2 linked regions of the Astyanax mexicanus genome follow. The protein of the gene in region 2 interacts with the protein of the main gene of each other region in a pairwise test. Links are inferred from orthologs where the notes say so. Each region holds a gene or a part of one and is shown on either strand. Other genes may lie near its edges.

What was found. The genes of interacting proteins can lie anywhere in the genome.
Region 1: the proteins of gabarapl2 (region 2) and mlx interact in binary tests that used the Homo sapiens proteins (3 or more experiments, as listed by UniProt). The two-hybrid records come from large-scale screens. The link is inferred for Astyanax mexicanus from reciprocal best matches to the Homo sapiens genes GABARAPL2 and MLX.

The regions. Positions count from the first base shown.
Region 1 is NC_064426.1:23,205,706-23,215,419, forward strand, and holds the start of mlx (max-like protein X), read right to left. Parts: upstream 4,507-9,714; 5' UTR 4,410-4,506; coding exon 4,368-4,409; intron 1,202-4,367; coding exon 1,162-1,201; intron 293-1,161; coding exon 203-292; intron 1-202. Other genes in the region: fmnl1a (formin-like protein 1), read left to right, coding at 8,421-8,585. UniProt on the Homo sapiens protein: Transcription regulator. Forms a sequence-specific DNA-binding protein complex with MAD1, MAD4, MNT, WBSCR14 and MLXIP which recognizes the core sequence 5'-CACGTG-3'. The TCFL4-MAD1, TCFL4-MAD4, TCFL4-WBSCR14 complexes are transcriptional repressors.
Region 2 is NC_064417.1:10,971,886-10,982,646, reverse strand, and holds the start of gabarapl2 (gamma-aminobutyric acid receptor-associated protein-like 2), read left to right. Parts: upstream 1-6,293; 5' UTR 6,294-6,485; coding exon 6,486-6,519; intron 6,520-8,439; coding exon 8,440-8,495; intron 8,496-10,761. Other genes in the region: tmem231 (transmembrane protein 231), read right to left, coding at 2,914-2,995, 3,076-3,219, 3,684-3,812, 4,157-4,323, 4,551-4,689. UniProt on the Homo sapiens protein: Ubiquitin-like modifier involved in intra-Golgi traffic. Modulates intra-Golgi transport through coupling between NSF activity and SNAREs activation. It first stimulates the ATPase activity of NSF which in turn stimulates the association with GOSR1.

The sequences.
Region 1 (9,714 bases), on a different chromosome or scaffold from region 2:
AATTAAAAGGATCTATTTGCAATATTATGCTTTCTACTATCATTGTGTCAGTGGAAGAATATGGTCATAAAATGACTAGCTGGGATGATAAAAAACAGGACAAAATTACACTTATATTTAATTTGTATTTAATTTATGCAATGGTAAGCAAAATGGGAAAGTGAATGAAAAGCTGCATAAACTTGTGCGCAGTATTGTGTACCTGTGTTGGGTACTGAGGAGGCACTGGTGGATCCTATACTGTTGGCTCTAGACACCATTGTTCCTTTCCGAGAACTCTCTGCAAAGAAACCTGTAAAAGAGGAAACAATACAAGACAATGTCCAACATAAACAACCAAGAAATATATTTATTGTTTTCCTCCTAAGTTAAAAAAGTTAAGTAAGAGTAAAAAAAAATAGGTGATTTAAAATTTTGTAAAACCACTAAACCATTTTTTTTATCTATTACCACCAAACTGCACGCTGTTGATTTTCTTTTGAGTAAATGGCATTTATATTATTTACATGGTTACCATTTTGGTCAGTGATATATGTTATATATGCAGCCTATATAACACACATAGTTACTAAGCTTAATGTACAGTATAATGCAAAGGTTTGTTCAACTGATTTTTCTAATATTTTAAATGAAAATAAAATAACAGGGTAACATTTTTCCTTACATTTAAGATTTGCTATTTATTTTCTGACATATTTTAATATATATTACCTTATTGTCTTTTTGTTTTGAGGTATGCTATATTAAGGAAACAGTCATTTATATATATATATATATATATATATATATATATATATATATATATATATATATATAATAAAATGTTTTACTTCATGACATAATGTGAATCTAATTGTCATTTACCTTAAGTCAACATCTATTAATTAATGAGGGAATAAAATTCCTCCAATTTTTTTTTACTTTGACTTTCATTAAAAGATAATACGGTTTTCTGCTTCTGCATATTTATTGATCTGTAACAGTGAAGATATACAAGCACTAAAACTATAAAACTATACACTACATTTTTCTAAACCCAATTAATTAAACATATGACATAATAAAACCAATGAACTACTACAATAACACTAAACTAATAAAACCACTCCTTTCAGGGCTGCTTAAATAGACACACACTTAAAGCCAGGCTTAAGTACTTACTGTGGTCAAAGCCATTGTCGCTAAAGGTGCCGTCCGTCTGCTGAGCCATGGCGAGGTGAAGTTCAGGACGAGGGAAAAATAAACACTCGGATTAATTCAGACAAAATGACAGAATTCTCTTAACGGTAAAGAAAAGAGAGACACAGACAGACAGACAGACCGATACAAACCACCCGCCAGCACTAAAAGTTATACACCTGGCACATCATGCATCTAGGACACCAGTACTCCCTACTGTGATATGTCCTCAATAAATAACCATTAGCACCCCGCTACGCCCGGCAGAGACGGCTTTATTACTTTACAAAACGCTGGAACCATAAAAGCGAAGGCACTTTCAGCAATGATGAGAATAATAAATGCCATTTACAATGCTAACAATGAGAAATGCCACTTAAATGTACCTGCACTTACAATGCCAGTGAATAGGGCTCGGTTAAAATTATGATAATTTAGCATTATAAAGATAAACTGTGACAATTTTAGCTGTGGATGAAGATCAACCTTTAACAGCATGCTTCATCATTATCAAAATAGCATTATTATTATTAGGGATGCAGCAATGACTTTAGACAATGCAGAAATACACTCTAAAAACGGGAGGTTACACCGATTACAGATTGTCTTTCAATGCGTTTGGTGGATCGCTGATGCCAATTGAAGACCTCAGGAGGGGAATCCGGTTACTGGTATTAAAGGCACACCATGCAACATTTTCAGTTAATCAATGCATTTCATACTGTTTAAGATAAATACATGGGTAATTATGAAGCGTAAGAAGTTTCTCACTTTTTCACCCTTTTGGTCTGTAGGGGAAAAAAAAATCTTGGGCATTGCAAGAGTCAGTCTCGCTTTATGGCAAATGCTACATATATCCTCAGCAAAAAGCAAGAGGCAGGCTAGTTGCTAGAGGGCCATAGTTATAGATGTGCAAGTCTTCTCCGAATAGCCAGAGCTAAAATTCTAATATTGCCTGTCTATTATTATGAACTATTTTGCAAGCTTGCTTCATAAGTGACGTTTAGTCCAGGTATGTGTATTTACTTTACTAAACAGCACATTATTTGGCACAAATTTGGTTTGAAGTGGATTTTACAATATATAAAATCAGAATCCAGTATAAGATCTTGTCGCACTTGCTACTCAAAAAACTCTTTTCTGACTTTTTTTCCCCCAAACATGCAATGTACAAACCCTTTTCTGATATGTTTAATAGTCTATTGTGCTCAACACATCATGCATGGCTAGGGTATGGAACCAGAGGAATAGCATTGTGACAGAGAACATTTACTCTTGGTCTGTAGGGGAGCCTCTAAAAAAAACAACCAAGGATGGCAGCATAGTGTGCCTTGCTCCCTTCAAGAGGCGCAATACAATGCGATTCTGCAGCCATGTACAAGCCTTATATTTCCATATACATTTTTTTTTTTTACCAAGAAATGTAATCATCATGTGATAGAGGATCTTTGCACAAAGAATATAATCTGACCGGCTCTTAGAATCAGCATATTAGAGCAATATTGCATTATTTGTCTAAAAACATCTGACAATATTAAAACTGCCAATCAACTTTACAGCTTTTCTAGCACAGTGAAGAATAAACCACTTTATATAATTATTTTGGACCTATGACTTTCCTGGTGAAATCTAGTGAAAATTTGTAAAATTTGTATCACAATATATATTTTGCAGAAAAAACATATTGCAATGTCAGATATGTGCCAGTATCGTGCATCCATATTGCCCACATCTATCCCTTGATAAACAGTCAACCACTTTATTAAACCGCATTAAAGCACAGATTTGTGCTGACTTCAAACTTGAAAAAGTAAAAAAAAAATGGGAGGGGTAGTTTGGGCATGGCACTGGGTGATGTTTGGGTTTAGAGGCGGTGCAGAAGGGAGAGCTGACAGGCTAAGCTGCAGCAACAGCAGTGTGCCTTTGATACCCAGATGGTTTGAGTTCAGCAGGGGGGTGTTATTATTTATTGACAGGTGTTATCTGCATATTGTAAGTGTCTGCATACCAATGTACACGGACACATCATCCTTGCCTATAGCACAGTTGAACCTGGTTAGGAAATGTATATACAAAATTTAAGCAAAACTAATACGTTTTGTGCCTTTTCAGGAACACATTTCATCTATTAATGAAAAAAATATGGCTTAGTGTCACTTTAAGTATCCAACTAGCTATCTAGCTATACAGCCAATTTCTGTCAGTAATGCTAGTTTAACAATTTATATCAGTATCACTAAGTATTAAACTAAAACAAAGCACCCCCTAAAAAGTGAAACAGAGCTCACTGTAAGGTAAACATGTTTTACACAATAGTAAACTCTCCTTTCTAAGCTACTTAACAGTAAACTTTACAAAATATGTAAAGAATGTCGTTTTTACACAAGTTTTCTAGCTAAGCTAACCTAGCTAGCTAATCCAAACTAAGGTTAGTTTAGCTAGTTAGCGTTTCCGAATCCAATGTAGGTCAGCTGAGCTCGGTGACAACACCGAGTTTTGAGAAGAGGCTAACTTACAGTCTTAGCTAACGCTAACTAACTACCTAATTTAGCTATTTAAGTTATTTTAGAGTTTATGAGGCGGATATTTTAGTTGTACAATACTGTACTAAGTTGTATATTTTAATGTACAATATAGACAAACGAGCTTATTTAAAATCATTTAGAAATATATATTTACAAATATAGCTTGTTAGCTAGCTAAGACATTAAGCTTGTTACTAGAGTTGGCTAATCCAGGTCCAGAAATACGAATCCATCCCAGGGTTTTGTTCCAACAGCCTGTGCGGGTCTACTTGCAGCTACAGCGTCCACGCAGTTGGAGCAAAATCCCGGAGTGGATTTATACTTATGGACGTTTCTGGACATTCTCTATCCCAAATAGAGATACATCATTGTTATATCAGTGATCATTCGCAGTCTGATAAGTTACTACAGTGTTATAAATCATGTTATAAGTCTGGGAAGACGTTGGCTAACGCTAATATGACGTAGATAAACACAAAGGAGCCAGATCCCCAAGTTTTCTTTTGTTTAGCCAGCTTTACTATTAGTCTTCTATTGATCATCATAAAGTGAAAGTAACGTTAGTTGATTCCAGCGCTTATATTCTCTAATCTCAGGTTTATCACATCAGTAAAGCACCTGACTGTCTTCTACAGGAGTTAAACAGCTGAACTGTCTGCTTACTTTGTGCCAGGGATCCTCCGGCGACGCGCTGGGCTCCGTCATTTTGGAAGAAACACGGAAAGATCACGGGATGAGGAGCTGAGGGGAGCGCGCTGGAGAACAGCGCCGTCTGCTGCTGCTGATCTCAGCTGATCAGGAGTCAGAACCCGGGGACACACTCCTCTATCACCAGCAGAGGAGGGTAAAGAGGTTTTAGAGCTCACAGCAGGAGGAAATCTGGATATTCATAAATTCTCTTCACATAAAACATTTTTTTATGGAATAACTTCTGACATTACTATGAAAAATAAGTCAGTGTTTTATCCAAAGTTCTTTTACATAAATATTCAGGGAATTATTAATATTTTTGACAGCTCTGGAAATTACACATCTGAAAAGGTACTATCAATGCTGAATTTATACAGTATGCAGTACATAGAGGCTTTAGAACTTCCTGACAATGTCTCTTTCAGGAAGCCTTGCATATGTCAGCAATACAATGCTAAACCACATACTGCATCCATTTTGAGATATCATAATTTTCGAGCTATTAAGCGCAACTGTAAGCCCCACCCACTAATTAAAAAAAAATGTTTGTATACAGGCCACACATAATTAGCCTGACTACAAGCCGCACATGGCTATGAGCCACACTTTTAATTAAACAGGCCATGTACACAAATATAGTTACGTACCGTGAACAGTGCTGCGTTCACGGTACATAAAATATGTTCTTAGGGTGTACGTACGGTTTAAAATAATACAGTAGTCACAAGATCCTTGTCATAAAATTAATTGGTAAGTCTAATATAAATGTATAGGCGAAAAAAGGGGTTTGTTGAATGTAATTTGCTTTAAAACCAGTTACAAAGAAAATAAAAGCTCAACTGGTAACAGCTGGATACCTCTGCGAAGCACCGCACACTCTGCCGACCCGGGATGCGGTAAGCTCAGAACCCCACTTTAAAATGACCAAAAATTACGGTACATAAAGTTTTACAAAAATAAAAGCAAGAAACATTGAGCATATTGATATATTAATGTATATTAATACTGTATAAATACACTTACCTTTTGTTATACTTTTTCATATTGGAATAGAACTACATTGGAAAACATTATTTATGTATGTAGGGAGCGACAGGGGTGACATTCAGAAGCCAGATTGCTCCAGGGAAGAGGCTGGAGATGTTGAAGTGATATTTTGTGTGGGTGGTGCTGGCCTTGAAATGTCTCTGTAATGGCAGTTTGGTGAAGAGATCACTATCACTACGGGGGTCTGAACAGTTCCTCTCATCATTCTTCCTTATTCTGGACACGCTCGCGGCTCCAGCGGTGGTTACTGGCAGGGTCGATACGGGCAGTTGCCTAAGGCAGTGAAAGCTTAGGGGCACACCCACATAAACACACATTCTTTTAAGTGGTGTTTATGTCCTGGGGTCCTTTTTCTTCCATGAATATACAGAAAAAGTTATAGACTAAAACTAGCTGATTTATTTTGTACATAAATTATACATACAGATTTACAGAAGATGTTGTACAGAAGTACTGACTGACAAAACTGTGTTTATGATATATATTTTATTAATGTGGAAAAGATGCGTGGCTCAGTGGTTTGAGCACTGTGTTATTGATCACAGGGTTGTGGGTACAATGTCCTTGTTTGCTGGGCTGCCGCTGTTGGGCTTTTGCTGCTCAAATCCAGCTTTTCCTTGCTCTCCTTCAAAATGACTTGACAAATGGATCAGCAAAAAAAGGTAAAGGCTGCATTTACTATTGTAGAGAGCCATGATTTTGGTCCGACAGCAACTATCTGAAACAATCCTGTATGGTTACTCCCAAGCTAGACGTTTACAAAAGGAAAAAAAATCAAAGTTACACCTGCACAAACACCTTTAAGAATGCAGCAAGTGGTTCCTGAAGGGTTAGTCAGCTTTTTAATTTAATTAACTTGTTACTTGTTATTTTTGGTTATCATTGCCATCTCTCCTTAGTTTCACTAAATTCATGTGCAGGACTAGCAGTAATGTTAATGTCAGCTTGTGCTAAATAGCAAAACATGAGCAAGGTAGTTCATGCATAATTGAGATAGAAACAAAACTCTGCTGACTTGCCACGGACAGCAGGTACAGATCCCTCCCTCAGACAAAGTCTGCTGGGTAATCTTGCTGTGTACTGTCCAAGGTTCTCAAAGCTGTCTGCCTTGAAGTGGTTTGCACACACCAGAAGTTTCTTGGCGATTGTTGTTGAAACATGGCCATTGAAAAAAGAATGTGTTGTTCTTGGCAGCCAAAAAACACCACATGTGACTTTCTTTTGCCTGTAGCCAACGCATTCAGTGTGGCAGATCTTCAACTGATCTATTGGGTGAGGCTCTGGTAGGGGTTGATGTATGAAGGGTGGTGCCTGAGTGGTTCTATGCAAATTTTATCATTCTGACGTAAGACTAAGGGTGGAAATCCACATGTGTATAACACCAAGGGCCTAGGCATGCAGACTGCTTCTACAAACATTAGTGAAAGAATGCGGCACTATCAGGAAATCAGTGAATTCCAGTGTTTTACTGTGATAGGATGCAGTACCTGTGAAACAAGTCCAGTCACAAAATTTCCTCACTAGTAAATATTCCACAGCCAACTGTCTGTGCTATTATAACAAAGTGGAAGCAACTGGGAACAAAAGCAACTCGCTCTGCCAATGTAAAATAACAGAGACAGGAGTCAACGGATCTCCAACTTTCTACAGCAGAGTCTATCACTCCAGACCTTCAAACTTCATGTGGCTGTCAGATTAGCCCAAGAACAGCGTAGAGCGTGAAGACCTTCATGGAATGGGTTCCATGGCTGAGCCGCTCCACCCAAGCCTTACATCACCAAACTCAAGACAGACGAGCTGCTTCTCTTGGTAATATGGTGTATGTACCACACGGTGGCATTCTGAGGTAAGTTTATGGAGATATAGTAAGTCAAAAGTGGGTAGAAGGCCAGATCTAGCCAACATGACTTTTGTTTTTCCACAAGGCCAAACCTTCTTTTGCACATATTTAATAATTAATAAAGACCAACACCAGTTTATCTTTCAGCTTGAAGTTAGTACTATGTCACATCTATTACGATTTTTTCTCTCTCTTTCTTTCTCTTGCTCTGGCTTTCAGCCTCTTCTCTTGCTCTTTTTCTCTCTCTCTCTCAGTTTCTCTTGCGCATCGTTTTCAGGAAGCGTCTGTTGCTTCTGCTTTTTTCTGTGGTTTCCTCCTCTTGCACTTCAACCCTCCCTTGTCACTAAACGCTAAACGTTTTTTCAAACAAGGAGACACACACACACACACACACACCAGAGCCCACTAGAAGTTTAACATTCGGACAGGTGTCTTCTTCTCTTCTTCGTTCACACTTCCTATCTTTTCGAGGATAAACTTCAGTGTTGTTGGACAGACAGTGGATGTTACTGAAAGGATGAAGAAAGATGCTTCAGCGTGCGTCACTCTCAACCAGAGGATGAGCAGACAGAGGCCTAGTGCTGAGCAACGTTACTGAACAGCTGGAGGGCATTCAAAACTTGATTCACTTTGCCTGAAGGACAGCTATTGTTCATAAAGTGAATGTTAGCATTGTAAGTGGCATTTCTGCTTCCCTTTTTTCCAGACACAGTGTTTTTTGCATACATATGTGTGTCTGGTGTGTTTTTCCCTCCATTTTGAAACGAACAGGAGATTGCTCAATATAGGACTGTGTGTTTTGCTTCTTATGCATTAAATTGATGGTAAAACCCTATTTTTTTTTATCGGTAGAGTACAAGATTACAAAATTCTGATTATTTTTGTTTTTTTGCTACTTTTTCCCTTTGATCTTTCCTCCTGCTCTTGCTGTTTTTGACAGCATGTCATAAAAGAAATGCTTCAGCCACTTTTTTGGACCTGACCGAACCAAAGAACATTGTGGAGATTCGTAAACTTTCGAAAAAGGCATTGGATTTGATCTTTAAGAGTTGACTGGCCGTGATTGGTCAGAAGCCGTTTGCTGTGGGAATTGTCACTTGCTGGAGGTTGGGATCCTGGAATACTTTCGGAAGGTAGTGATGGGTAATGCGGCAGGTGGCCTAGAGCAGCCGGAGGGCCAGGAGGCCCGGGCCTCGTTGGGTGGGACCAGTCCCTTACCTGGCACAATAAAGAAGAAAACGGCCCCACCCAAACTCCCCATGCCCCCCGAGGAGGAACTAGAGGAGCGCTTCAATGTGGTTTTGGTGAGTGATTCACACATGAACAGTGATGGAACAAAAAGAAAGAACGCCCACATATGTTTAGATGTAAACAAGAACAATCAAATATTAATTGTTTTAAAAGGATACATAATGATTAAAGACACAAATAGGACAGTTTAATACCGAAGTAAAACTTTACACGACAATCAAACACACATCAAACAAGCAAGAAGAGCAAAAAGAACAATGTACAACCATGACTAAATATTCTCACCATGTGCAAAAGTACATTAAACACATACACTCCTGATTCCTGCAAATATATCTTAAGTCCCTTATTTCGCTTATAAAATATGTAGATATATTTTAGGCCTCACAACCAAATGATAAATAATAGCCCAGATATGCCTACATGTATAAGATAAATACTGTATAAAGCTCCTGAAAATACAGGTGGTTTAGTAAATATCAGATAACAAAAGTTAAAGAACCCACTTTAAACAGACAAACAAACAGTGGATCTAACTTACATTAACAACCTATTTCATTTTTGCTGATTTTTTTTTTTTTTTCAATTTTATCCATTGTGTTTATTTATTTATCAGAGCCTATTAGTCTAAATGAGCCAGTGTGTTGACTTTGTTTTAAAACAGTGTTTTTATTTGATTTATGTTTTATTTATTTTGGATATTTGAACATTTCTAATCTGCCATTGCCTTGTTGTTGAAGGTCAGTCAATCCCAAAAAGTATAAGAACTTTAAAAGCATCTTTAGGTGTAGTCGCAAAAAACATCAAAAATGTTATGATGAAAGTGGCTCTCATCAGGACCACCCTAAAACAAGGAAGACAAAGAGTTATCCCATAAGAGATAAGAGCCCACCTAACTTCTTCACCGAATACTTTAAATGAGAAGATGTGTCCAGAGTTTTGACTGGTACTGTGTATCATGTAAATGTCCTGAAACCACAGGCGGTTTAATTACTAAGTAACCAAATCTTATTCTAATGTTAAATATCTCACTACAAACAAATAGCATTTACAGCATTTTATTTTAGAATATTAGACAAAAATATAAAAACCAATATAAATCTGCAATTAGTAATTTAATATTAGTACATATTATATAACTTATGCATTTAAATTGATTTTTTTGTTAAATACCTTTTGCTT
Region 2 (10,761 bases):
AATATCCAGTCAGCTCATATTAAATAGTTTAATGTTGTATCGTTTTTTGGTCTGAAGTAGCAACTTCTGTGAACACTGATCATTAAGTAGTAAGATATGGAATCCTAAAAGTTCAGCAGGCTATTAAACGTTGTTAGCTAAGTTAGCAGTGTTGCTTTTTTATGATTTGCTCTTAACAGTTAATTCCTTCTGGGTTGTCTTCTATTAAGCACACTTTGGAATATGGAATTGCAGCATCCCAAGCCCATTTGTTATTAAACCCCAGAACCTACTCATCTAACCACCACAGCACCATCCATCTGTTATCAAACCCCAGAACCTACTAATATAACCAGCACAGCACCATCCATCTGTTATCAAACCCCAGAACCTACTAATATAACCAGCACAGCACCATCCATCTGTTATCAAACCCCAGAACCTCATAATCTAACCAGCACAGCGCCATCCATCTGTTATCAAACCCTAGAACCTCCTAATCTAACCATCACAGCACCGTCCACCTGTTATCAAACCCCAGAACCTATTAATCTAACCAGCACAGCACCGTCCATCTGTTATCAAACCCAGAACCTACTAATCTAACCAGCACAGCCCCATCCATCTGTTATCAAACCTCAAAACATACTAATCTAACCAGCACAGCGCCAACCATCTGTTATCAAACCCCAGAACCTATTAATCTAACCAACACAGCACCGTCCATTTGTTATCAAACATCAGGTATTAATTCAGCTTGGAAAACAGATTGCATAAAATTTTAAAAATTGTTATTATGATTACCATAATAATAATTATTATTACTATAACACTAATAATATAATTTTATTGATAGGCATCTTTCACACATAGAAACACAAAAGTCAACATCACAAATATAATATAGTAAAACAAAGACAAAATAAAATCTAAAAACTAGATAACTAGACTAAAAACCAGACAAAATAGTAACGAAAACATGTAAATAAAATATATAAAAGAGGCTGTATGTACAACCATGAATTTATCCATTTTAAGTCACAGATCCTGTGGGAAGGTACCCAAAAAGTTTTTAGTTGTTTTTAAAAGAGAAGAGGGAAGTAATCGAACAGAGATCTATCTACAAAAGTGCGTAATCAGGTATGCAGAACAGGAAGCAGACTTTTGTCAGCAGAGCGGGGAGAGCATGGAGGTCAATACCTATGAATAAGATCAGAAATGTAGGTGGGAGGCAGGAAGAAACTAAATAAGTATCCTATCTTCCTTAATCTGCCTTGGCAACTTTCAGGAATTTGTTCCTTTTACATTCGAGTTAGAATATCCAGTCAGCTGGTTTAATGTCGTATCATTTTTCGGTCTGAAGTAGCAACTTCTGTGAACACTGATCATTAAGTAGTAAGATATGGAATCCTAAAAGTTCAGCAGGCTATTAAACATTGTGTACAGCTATTTGGCAGCATGTTTTGGGGACACCACATAGCTATTAGCTAATTTAGCAGTGTTGCTTTTTTATGATTTGCTCTTAACAGTTGTTTCCTTCTGGGTTGTCTTACATTAAGCACACTTTGGGTGAAACAGCGACAGATTGTGTGATCTGACACTGATGTACCTTGACTTTGGAATTTACGTCTAAATTCTTTGGGAGTTGTATTTGGCAATTCGGTTACAATTCATATTACTCTCTCAATTTGTCATTAATTTTCCTCGTCCTGGGAGGTTGGCTACAGTCCTTTAGATCTTAACTTTCTGAATAACATGTGCAACTGTAGTAGCAGGAACATCAAGCTGCTTGGAAATGGTCTTACTTTACCCTACACATGTTTGTCTATCATTTTCTTTTCTTAGCTTTCTGTACTGGTGTGATGGTGATGTTCATTGTGGTACACACCAACATACCAATCAGCACAGTAACTGCATCATGTCTGTGACCCACTGACATCACTAACCCTTTGCCCTCTTCTTTTGTGATGCTTTTCCAGGCAGTGTGTTTTGGGTCAATATCTTGCTGAATGAAGAAGAATCTTCCATTCAGTTTGGTTTCATCATTCTTTAAATTCACAGACAAAATGTTTCTGTAGACCTCAGAGTTCACTTTGCATCAATGAATATTAATGAATCTGTCCCAGAATAAATAATTCAAGCCCAAATCATAACACTACCTCCATTGTGTTTCAGATATGAGCTGGTATGTTTAGAAACAGGTCCTTTTTTTTTTTTTTCCAAACTTGCCTTTCTATCAAATTAGTAAACGTTAATCTTTGTCTCATTAGTCCACAGGCTTGGCTTTGTACTCTGGTAAATTCCAGCCTGGCCTTTCTATTCACCTCATTAATAGTGTTTTTTATTTTCTAGTGAAGCCTCTGTGTTCATGAAGTCTTCAGTGAACAGTAGATTGTGATACCTTCACCCCTGCCTTGTGGAGGTTGCTGCTGATGTCACTAAAAATTATTTCTTCACAGCACTCGCAATGTTCCTGTCATCCACTGCTGCAGTTTTTTACTTGGTGTACCTGTTAACATCTGTTATTTAGTACACCAGTGACGAATTTCTTCTTCAAGACATTCAAAACTGTTGTTCTGGCTATGGACAATATGTGTGCAATGGTTCTGATAGATTTTCCATTTTCTCTCAGTTTCACAGTTGCTTGTTTTTTACTCATAGACAGCTGGTTTTCATGTTGGTTACTTCTCTAACTTTAAATGCACAGTCTGCAGATCTGAAACTGAGTGTAGACATTCTGTGCTATTTATTGTTTGAATAAAATACTTTTGAAGGGCACTGTATAAGCGTCTCAACGGGCATTAAATGTGAGTTACGACTGAACATTTACATTTGAATTAAGGAGAAAAACTGAATTAAGGAGGAATATTTGCTTTGGAAACTATCAATTTACAACACAGACATATACAAATACATATAAACACTTTCTCTTACAGTTTCTTGCTTGATAGGCTCTGATGATGCTGGCCAAGTCATAGGAAGTAGCGAAGGGACTCCCTGTTTCGACCACTGACACCTAAAAAGAAATATAGCACGTAAACACACCTACAAAAAGCATTTAAAAGTGTGGTGTAAAGTATGAACACAAACTCTCACATTGTAGGCAGCATGTAGACCTCTGTGTGGCAGTGGGATCTGTTGGTGGAGCCTCAGGTCCCCATTGATGAACAGCTGTGATCCAGGAACGGAGGAGGAGTGCTGAATAAAGGCCATAGACTGCATCACTACAGTGGACATCCGCTACAAAAAGAGTGACATGAATTCAACCTGACAGTTCCACTTGTTCAATCAAGTGAAAAAAAAAATTGCAAATGCAGTGAGAAAAGCATCAGAAATATGTATGGCACAACAACCCAGTGTTTTGTTTACTAATGTTTGTTGGAGTGTGGAGTGTATTTTTTGATGATTGTTGGTTGGTTCGATGGCAGCTATTGACACCTGATGTTTGTTGCTATGTAATATTGTATGATGCAAACTGATTACATTTGATGGCATTACCTAGTGTCTGCTGGCATTTGTAAGTGTTTTATTATATATTTGGTATTAGAGTTTTTTGTAGAGTTGAGGTGATTTCTGCCATTGGACTGTATTTGGCGTAGGGTGGCATTTGCTTGTGTTTGTGGGATTTTGTTGAATAATTTTGGGACAGTTTGCCCTAAATTAAGGGTTAGGGTGTGTTTTTGTGGTACTGTGCTGATACACACAAACAACTGGTATGAGAAGGTGAGGAGTAGCTGAATGCTGTAAATCTGCTCTTCTGCTTTCAGTGGAACACTGAGCTGGAGACGCAGCCGGTCTGATTTTCCATCCTGATTGCTGTCCTCCTCCTTGACCTGCAAAACACAAACATGTGCTTTTAAACATAATACACTTATTTCATATGCCCACACCCACTGTCAAAAGTTTGTTTCTTCCACCTTTGTACTGTCTATCTAGCTGTGTTAACCGAACACTCCAAAAGCTATTTAGTTATTTGGAGCTACTCAGACCAAAGCTATCTAGTGTTGGTGAGGCACCATAAAAATTATATCCACCGCCTTCCAAAGAAAAGAACCTGTGTTTATGAGTAAATAACATTTTGTTTGTGATGCTCTGGTGAACTCTGGGAACATGTTGTGTGCTAGCTAGTTTGTGGTATTCAAACTTTTGTGTACATTTCTGTGTCTGTAGTACTTACAGACACTGCAGGGATGCGAAGGTTGCTTCCCAGCAGACGGTTAAAGTCAGGAAAAGTGCTCCACGCCACAAATTCTCCTGCTGTTCCAGTGGCTCCAATCATTAACATCTGGTACTGGAACTGCACAACCGGCTGCTCCTCATATGTGCTTCTCTTCAGCCAGAATCCTGCAAACAAAGAAAAAAAACATCAGTTACTGATGAAATGCTGCACTGTATTGGAGGTGTCAGTCAGTAAAGCCATGCACTGTTTAACATGAGCTCCTGGAGTTCATAAGCTAGTCAGCACAGCCAGTATATTAAGTAAGTCCATGAGCAAGTTCACGGGGTTAATATACTAAATTCTTACAGTATACCAGCTGTATTAATGAGGTGCTGCTGTAGTGAACACTTACCTTGGCTCTTGTAGGCGACCAGCAGTGGCGGGATGTACGTAAGACAGAAAACCATCAGCACGAACAGGGTGGCGCGAGTACACACATTGGTTTTATATCTTATTAAAGCAGGGTGGGAGTACACTTCATAAAAAGCCATCACTGAAACCCTCCTCGCTGTTCTGAACTCGCTCTGAAGAACAGTTCTAAACTCGCTCTGAAGAACAGTTAAAACCTACTGAGAAATAACAGTGGGGCTGTTCTGGTTAGCATTGGTTAAGGTTAAGCTGTAATGGAGATGTGTTAAGGTGTGTTGTGTGCTGTAGAATCGGTTTCTCTCGTATTTAATTCGGATTAAATGTACTGTATCTATCAGTTCGGCCGCAGACGTGCAGTGCCTAATTCGGGTTTAAAAGCCATGCTAATGCTAATGCTAACGGTAACTGCTCCTGAAGCGAAGCGTCCCAGCGTTACCATGACCGCCTCCAGGAAACAGAAAGCGAACATCCGCCCACAGTTACCATGGCCACCCACGCCCCACCCCCTCTGTTGTCAAATATATTTATTATTCCACCTCTTAGCAAAAAACTTAAATCATACCAAAATAAAGCTACCATTTAAAACAGATTTATTACTTTTTTTTTTGCAACGTTTTAAAAAAGGTCCCAGGAAGGAACATTACAGATAGTGTTCCAGGAATGTTATTTTAACGTGATGTGCAGGAGAAACACGTACACAAAAGTGTTATATTCTGTATTTAATCACCACAGAACATATAGGTGATTTAAAAATGAACTCTGCCACTGAAAATCAAGCTAAGAAGCTGAAGCCCAAATATGGGCATAACAAAGGCCACAGAATTACCAGTATTTATAACATACTCATTAACCAATAAATAGCCTTAATAGTATATTAGGCCTAATTTTTTTTTTTATGACAATATTTAAAACAATGGTTAGAGACAAACGTCTGGACATAGCTCTCCTGGTTTCTGGTATACTGTGTGTGAAACTGATCTGATTACTGAATTGGACATTTCAGACTATTTGGTCCACTTGATTTCATGACTGATTAGAATGCAAGACAATTATTAATACGATAAATAAAATAAAGGACAATAAAAAAAACATATATACAATGATAATTTACATTTAACAAACATGTCCTAATAAAAGGTTTTCCAGACATATATTCAGAATTATGGTGAACGTACATTATTTTTTTTTTCAATTGCTAAACAATATGAAAAGCCCATATTCAGTTGTAAGGATAAATATAAATGTAAAAAAAAAAAAAACAAGCCTGTAGGCCACCCTCCCACTTATATCAAAGAACACTAACACTAAACCTTATATATATATATATATATATATATATATATATATATATATATATATATATATATATATATATATATATATATATATATATATATATATAATATTGATTATACAACCTTTATCTAACATTGGCTACCTGAATTGAATCAACGTTCACTTAAAGGTTTTAAATGATTAAGGCTCTTTTAACACTTTTCAAGTTAATGCTTTTTAGGATAAAGGTGCTTCCCACAAATAATAAAACTATGTGTTATAATATGAATTATGCGTTAAATGTATATTTCAAGCTTAATATAATACAAACAATATTTACATATTTACAAATCAAAATCTTTGGGGAATGTGGTTGGTCACCGGGTGCAGGATTTAACCCGAGTCCTGTTTCGGCACATCCCCCACAGAGCTGGTTGGTATGACCTGCATGACGTCAGCCGTCCGTCCAGCAGTGCTAAAGCTAATGCTAGTGCTAAGGCTAATGCAGGCGGAGTGTTGACACCGCTGCTGTTTTCAGGATAATCTCCGTTTCTGTCTCTTTCTGCTCGGGTTATTCTTGCAGCTCCTGTACACTGATTCATTGTTTCACCGCACTGGGAGAGGGCCGCCCGAATCCGCCACCATGAAATGGATGTTTAAAGAAGATCATTCTCTGGGTAATTCTGTTTAATCTGATATAAAACTGACTTTTATCAAACCCACACAGACCCGCGCTCATTATTCACCGCCAGTAAACACCAGCCTCAGATAATGTGGAGATCTGTACCTGCATGTCTGAATACTAGGGGCTGGTCGTAATCATGTTTACATTGTTAGGCCGTGCGTGTGTGTGTGTGTGTGTGTGTGTGTGTGTGTGTGTGTGTGTGTGTGTGTGTGTGTGTGTTAAAACGTTATTAGCTAGACGTAGGGTAAATAACTACACCACCCCTTCACTGACCCAAAATAAACCATCTTACTATAGAAAAGCGATCACACCTTTATTCAGAACTGCTGTCTGTTTAAAGATCCCATGTTGCTCTCCATGATCTATTTTAACACTGATTTTTGCATTGGTGCAAGGGAATATACTTGTTGTTATTTTTCCCCAACCTCTCTTTATAAATGCACTCATTTTATTCAAAAGAGACGATTTTCTGTCATGTGGAACTAGAAAATACTTGAATAAAGTATTATCTCATGTCACACTTATCAATATGTTACAGACGACCAATTGATATTCAGTAGCTCAATATTGATTATCAATATAACATCCTGAGTTCTTGTGGCCAGTGTGTGCTAAAGTGCAGTTATTAAAGTGTGTCTTCAGGACAATGCCAGCCTCTCTGACACTAATGCCCACTGATGCTCAGAGATCATTATCAGCAGAGCTTATAGCCACGCTTCTTTTATTATAAGCATACAATAGCCTAAAGTGTTTTATTGTAACAAAACAAAAACAGTAGAACAAATTTTTGCATCCATCTGATCTGATAATTAAACTATATAGCCTTTTAATTTATTATTTGTATTAAATTGTATTTTAATTCTAAAAGCTGCTGACAAATGATTTTTGTTTTTGTATAGTTTTTACAACTTATGTTACCAAGCATTTTTACAGAACTCCCAAGAAGCCTGTAGCCTTGTACTGATATATTTTTGTTTTAATTTTATTATTTATCTTTAAGATCGAGTAAGTCTCAGGTTATCATTTTTAATAGTCTATTTTTAATTTAATTCAATTCAATTCAATTTAATATTTATACTGTTGATCCTGAAATCATTAGACTGGCAGACTCTATCCCGGTATTGATTTCTTTATTGTTTACTGTGGACAGGTTAAGAGTCTGCACATTAGTGTTTGAGCTAAGTGCTTGGACAAGAATGTTTGAGCAGCATTTTCTGCTGTTAGACTGTAATACATCTTCAAACTAGAGAGAAAAATAGGCTAATAACAAGCTCTCTTGCCTGTTCTTATTAAAGTCTCTGCAAATATAATTGCTTTTCCAGACCGGTTTGTGCACTCGTTTAACCTTTGAAGAAAGCTGAGCTGATAAAACAAGCATATTATTTAATATTTCTTGACTGATTGCTGTTTTTATTTGAATTAAATTTACTGACATATTTTTAAACAGCTCTTAACCTGCATTCTCCTGTTCTTCCTCTGAGCTTCACTTACAGCTTCTGTGTTGGGTTGCCAACAAGAACCAGTGTTTAAATAACACTCTTTAATTTTTATTCAGTGTTTTATAGTGTTCTGTATCAGAGCACTACTGTATATACACACTATGTGCTTGCATAAATGAAACAAAATAATGCATTCAGCATTACTTATTATGCTTGGTATTAGGATAGGGATGTTAGCTGGGGTATCTTTTTGTTTACCAAAGCACTGGCTACCTTTCTATGCGTACCATTCGAATCACATGTGATTTACTGCTGTGACTTCCATATGACATTAACACAGTACTGTCAAAACACTGCATGACACGCCGATAAATTGGAAAAGTGCTTTGCGTCATAAAGCACCTGCTTACATCAGTGTGCAGTGCAGGCATCGGTGATTCTCCTAATCATATTTTCTCGTTTCTTATCTTTAGAGCACCGGTGTGTGGAATCGGCCAAAATCCGCAACAAGTACCCTGATAGAGTTCCAGTGAGTATTAATACTAATCAACATCATGGACTTAGAGATCATTATTCTTCTACCTCAGTGTATTTCACTATGTCTGTACATGTATTGTGTGAAACCACTGTTTGATATCCCAATATTGATGTGAAATAAGATAAATAAAGATCCTCAATCAGTTTAAGCTTAAGAGTTTTTCTCAGGCTGAAGATTAAGTTTGATGTGCGTGTTAACAGTGGACTTCTACCTCACCTTGTCTAACTAGTTATGTCACATGAGTACAGTCTGTAGCATTAAGGGCTCCATTTGTGTTTATGGTGAAAACTGTGATAACAATGAAAGTAAAATTTGTCTCACTGCCCTAATATAGAAGAAATGCCACTAAACTCCAGTGCTTTTATAGAACACCAGTGGCCTAAACAGTCGTCTAAAACTGCTAAAGCCCTTTAGCCCCACAATGAACAGATCCACTGGTCTGTTTAGGGTGAAATGTTGAGGTTTGTTCAGTGCACAGTAGTGCTAGCTTAGCCTGTTGCAACATTCCTACACTACACTGACATGCCAACTGTGATGGGACGTAACTAATTTTGTGTCCCATGACTTTTGCCATGTCCTATGGAAGCTAAAGAACGCTGCACTGACCTGTGAGATGTGTGTGTGGGGCCTCCTGCATTAAATGTAGATGTCATTTCTGCCAGAGTGACCTTTCACACGGTTTAACGGTCTACATGTTAAATTATAAAATCAAGAATGTGTAAATACAACTTTGTAAATTGAACTTATCATTCATCTAACACCCACTATCAGGTCCTAAACTTGTTGCCTTGTCATAAGAATGCTGGTTAAAGTTCAACTTACAGTGCTCTCCATAATTATTGGCACCCCTGGTTAAGATGTGTTCTTTAGCTTCTCATAAATTGAGTTTTGTTCAAAATAATATAGGACCACGATGGAAAAAAAGAGTAAAATACAACCTTTAACTCAAGTGAATTTATTCAGTAGGAAAAAAATCCCACATTAAGAAATAATTATTTAACATCAAATCATGTGTGCCACAATTATTAGCACCCCTGATGTTAATACTTCGTACAACCCCCTTTTGCCAACAAAACAGCACCTAATCTTCTCCTGTAATGTTTCACAAGATGGGAGAATACAGAAAGAGGGATCTTTGACCATTCTTCTTTGCACATTCTCTCTAAATCATCCAACGACCTGGGTCCTCTCCTCTGCACTCTCCTCTTCAGCTCACCCCACAGGTTTTCAATGGGGTTGAGGTCTGGGGACTGAGATGGCCATGGGAGGAGCTTGATTCTGTGTGCGGTGAACCATTTCTGTGTAGATTTGGCCACATGTTTAGGGTCATTATCTTGCTGAAAGACCCAGTGACGACCCATCTTCAGCTTTCGGGCAGAAGCCACCAGATTTTGTTTTAAAATGTCCTGGTATTTTAGAGCATTCATGATGCCATGCACCCTAACAAGGTTCCCAGGGCCTTTAGAAGAGAAACAGGCCCACAGCATCACTGATCCCCCGCCGTATTTCACAGTGGGCATGAGGTGCTTTTCTGCATACTCAGCTCTTGTGTTACGCCAGACCCACTTAGAGCATTTGTTGCCAAAAAGCTCTATCTTTGTTTCATCTGACCAAAGCACACGGTCCCAGTTGAAGTCCCAGTACCGCTTAGCAAACTCCAAACGTTTGCGTTTATGATTGTGAGTGAGAAATGGTTTCTTCCGTGCATGCCTCCCAAACAGCTTGTTGGCATGTAGATAGCGCCTGATGGTTGTTTTGGAGACTTTGTGACCCCAAGAAGCTACCATTTGTTGCAATTCTGTAACAGTGAGCTTTGGAGAACTTTTTATTTCTCTTATCATCCTCCTCACTGTGCGTGGTGGCAAAATAAACTTGCGTCCTCGTCCAGGCTTGTTTACCACTGTTCCAGTTGTTTTAAACTTCTTAATAATTCCTCTGACAGTAGATATGGACAGGTGTAGGCGAGTAGCGATTTTCTTGTAGCCATTGCCTGACTTGTGAAGGTCAACACACATCTGCCTCACTTGAATGGTATGTTCCTTTGTATTTCCCATGTTGAAGATAAATGGCCTCTGTGTCACGTCATATTTATACCCCAGGGAAACAGGAAGTTGTGAATTACTAATTAAATGTTCCTACATACTCTGATCAACTTCGTAAACTACTGTAGAAGTGACAGAAATACTTTTATTAAATTTATTTCCTAAGAATTGTTAGGGGTGCCAATAATTGTGGAACAGGTGATTTTATGAAGAAT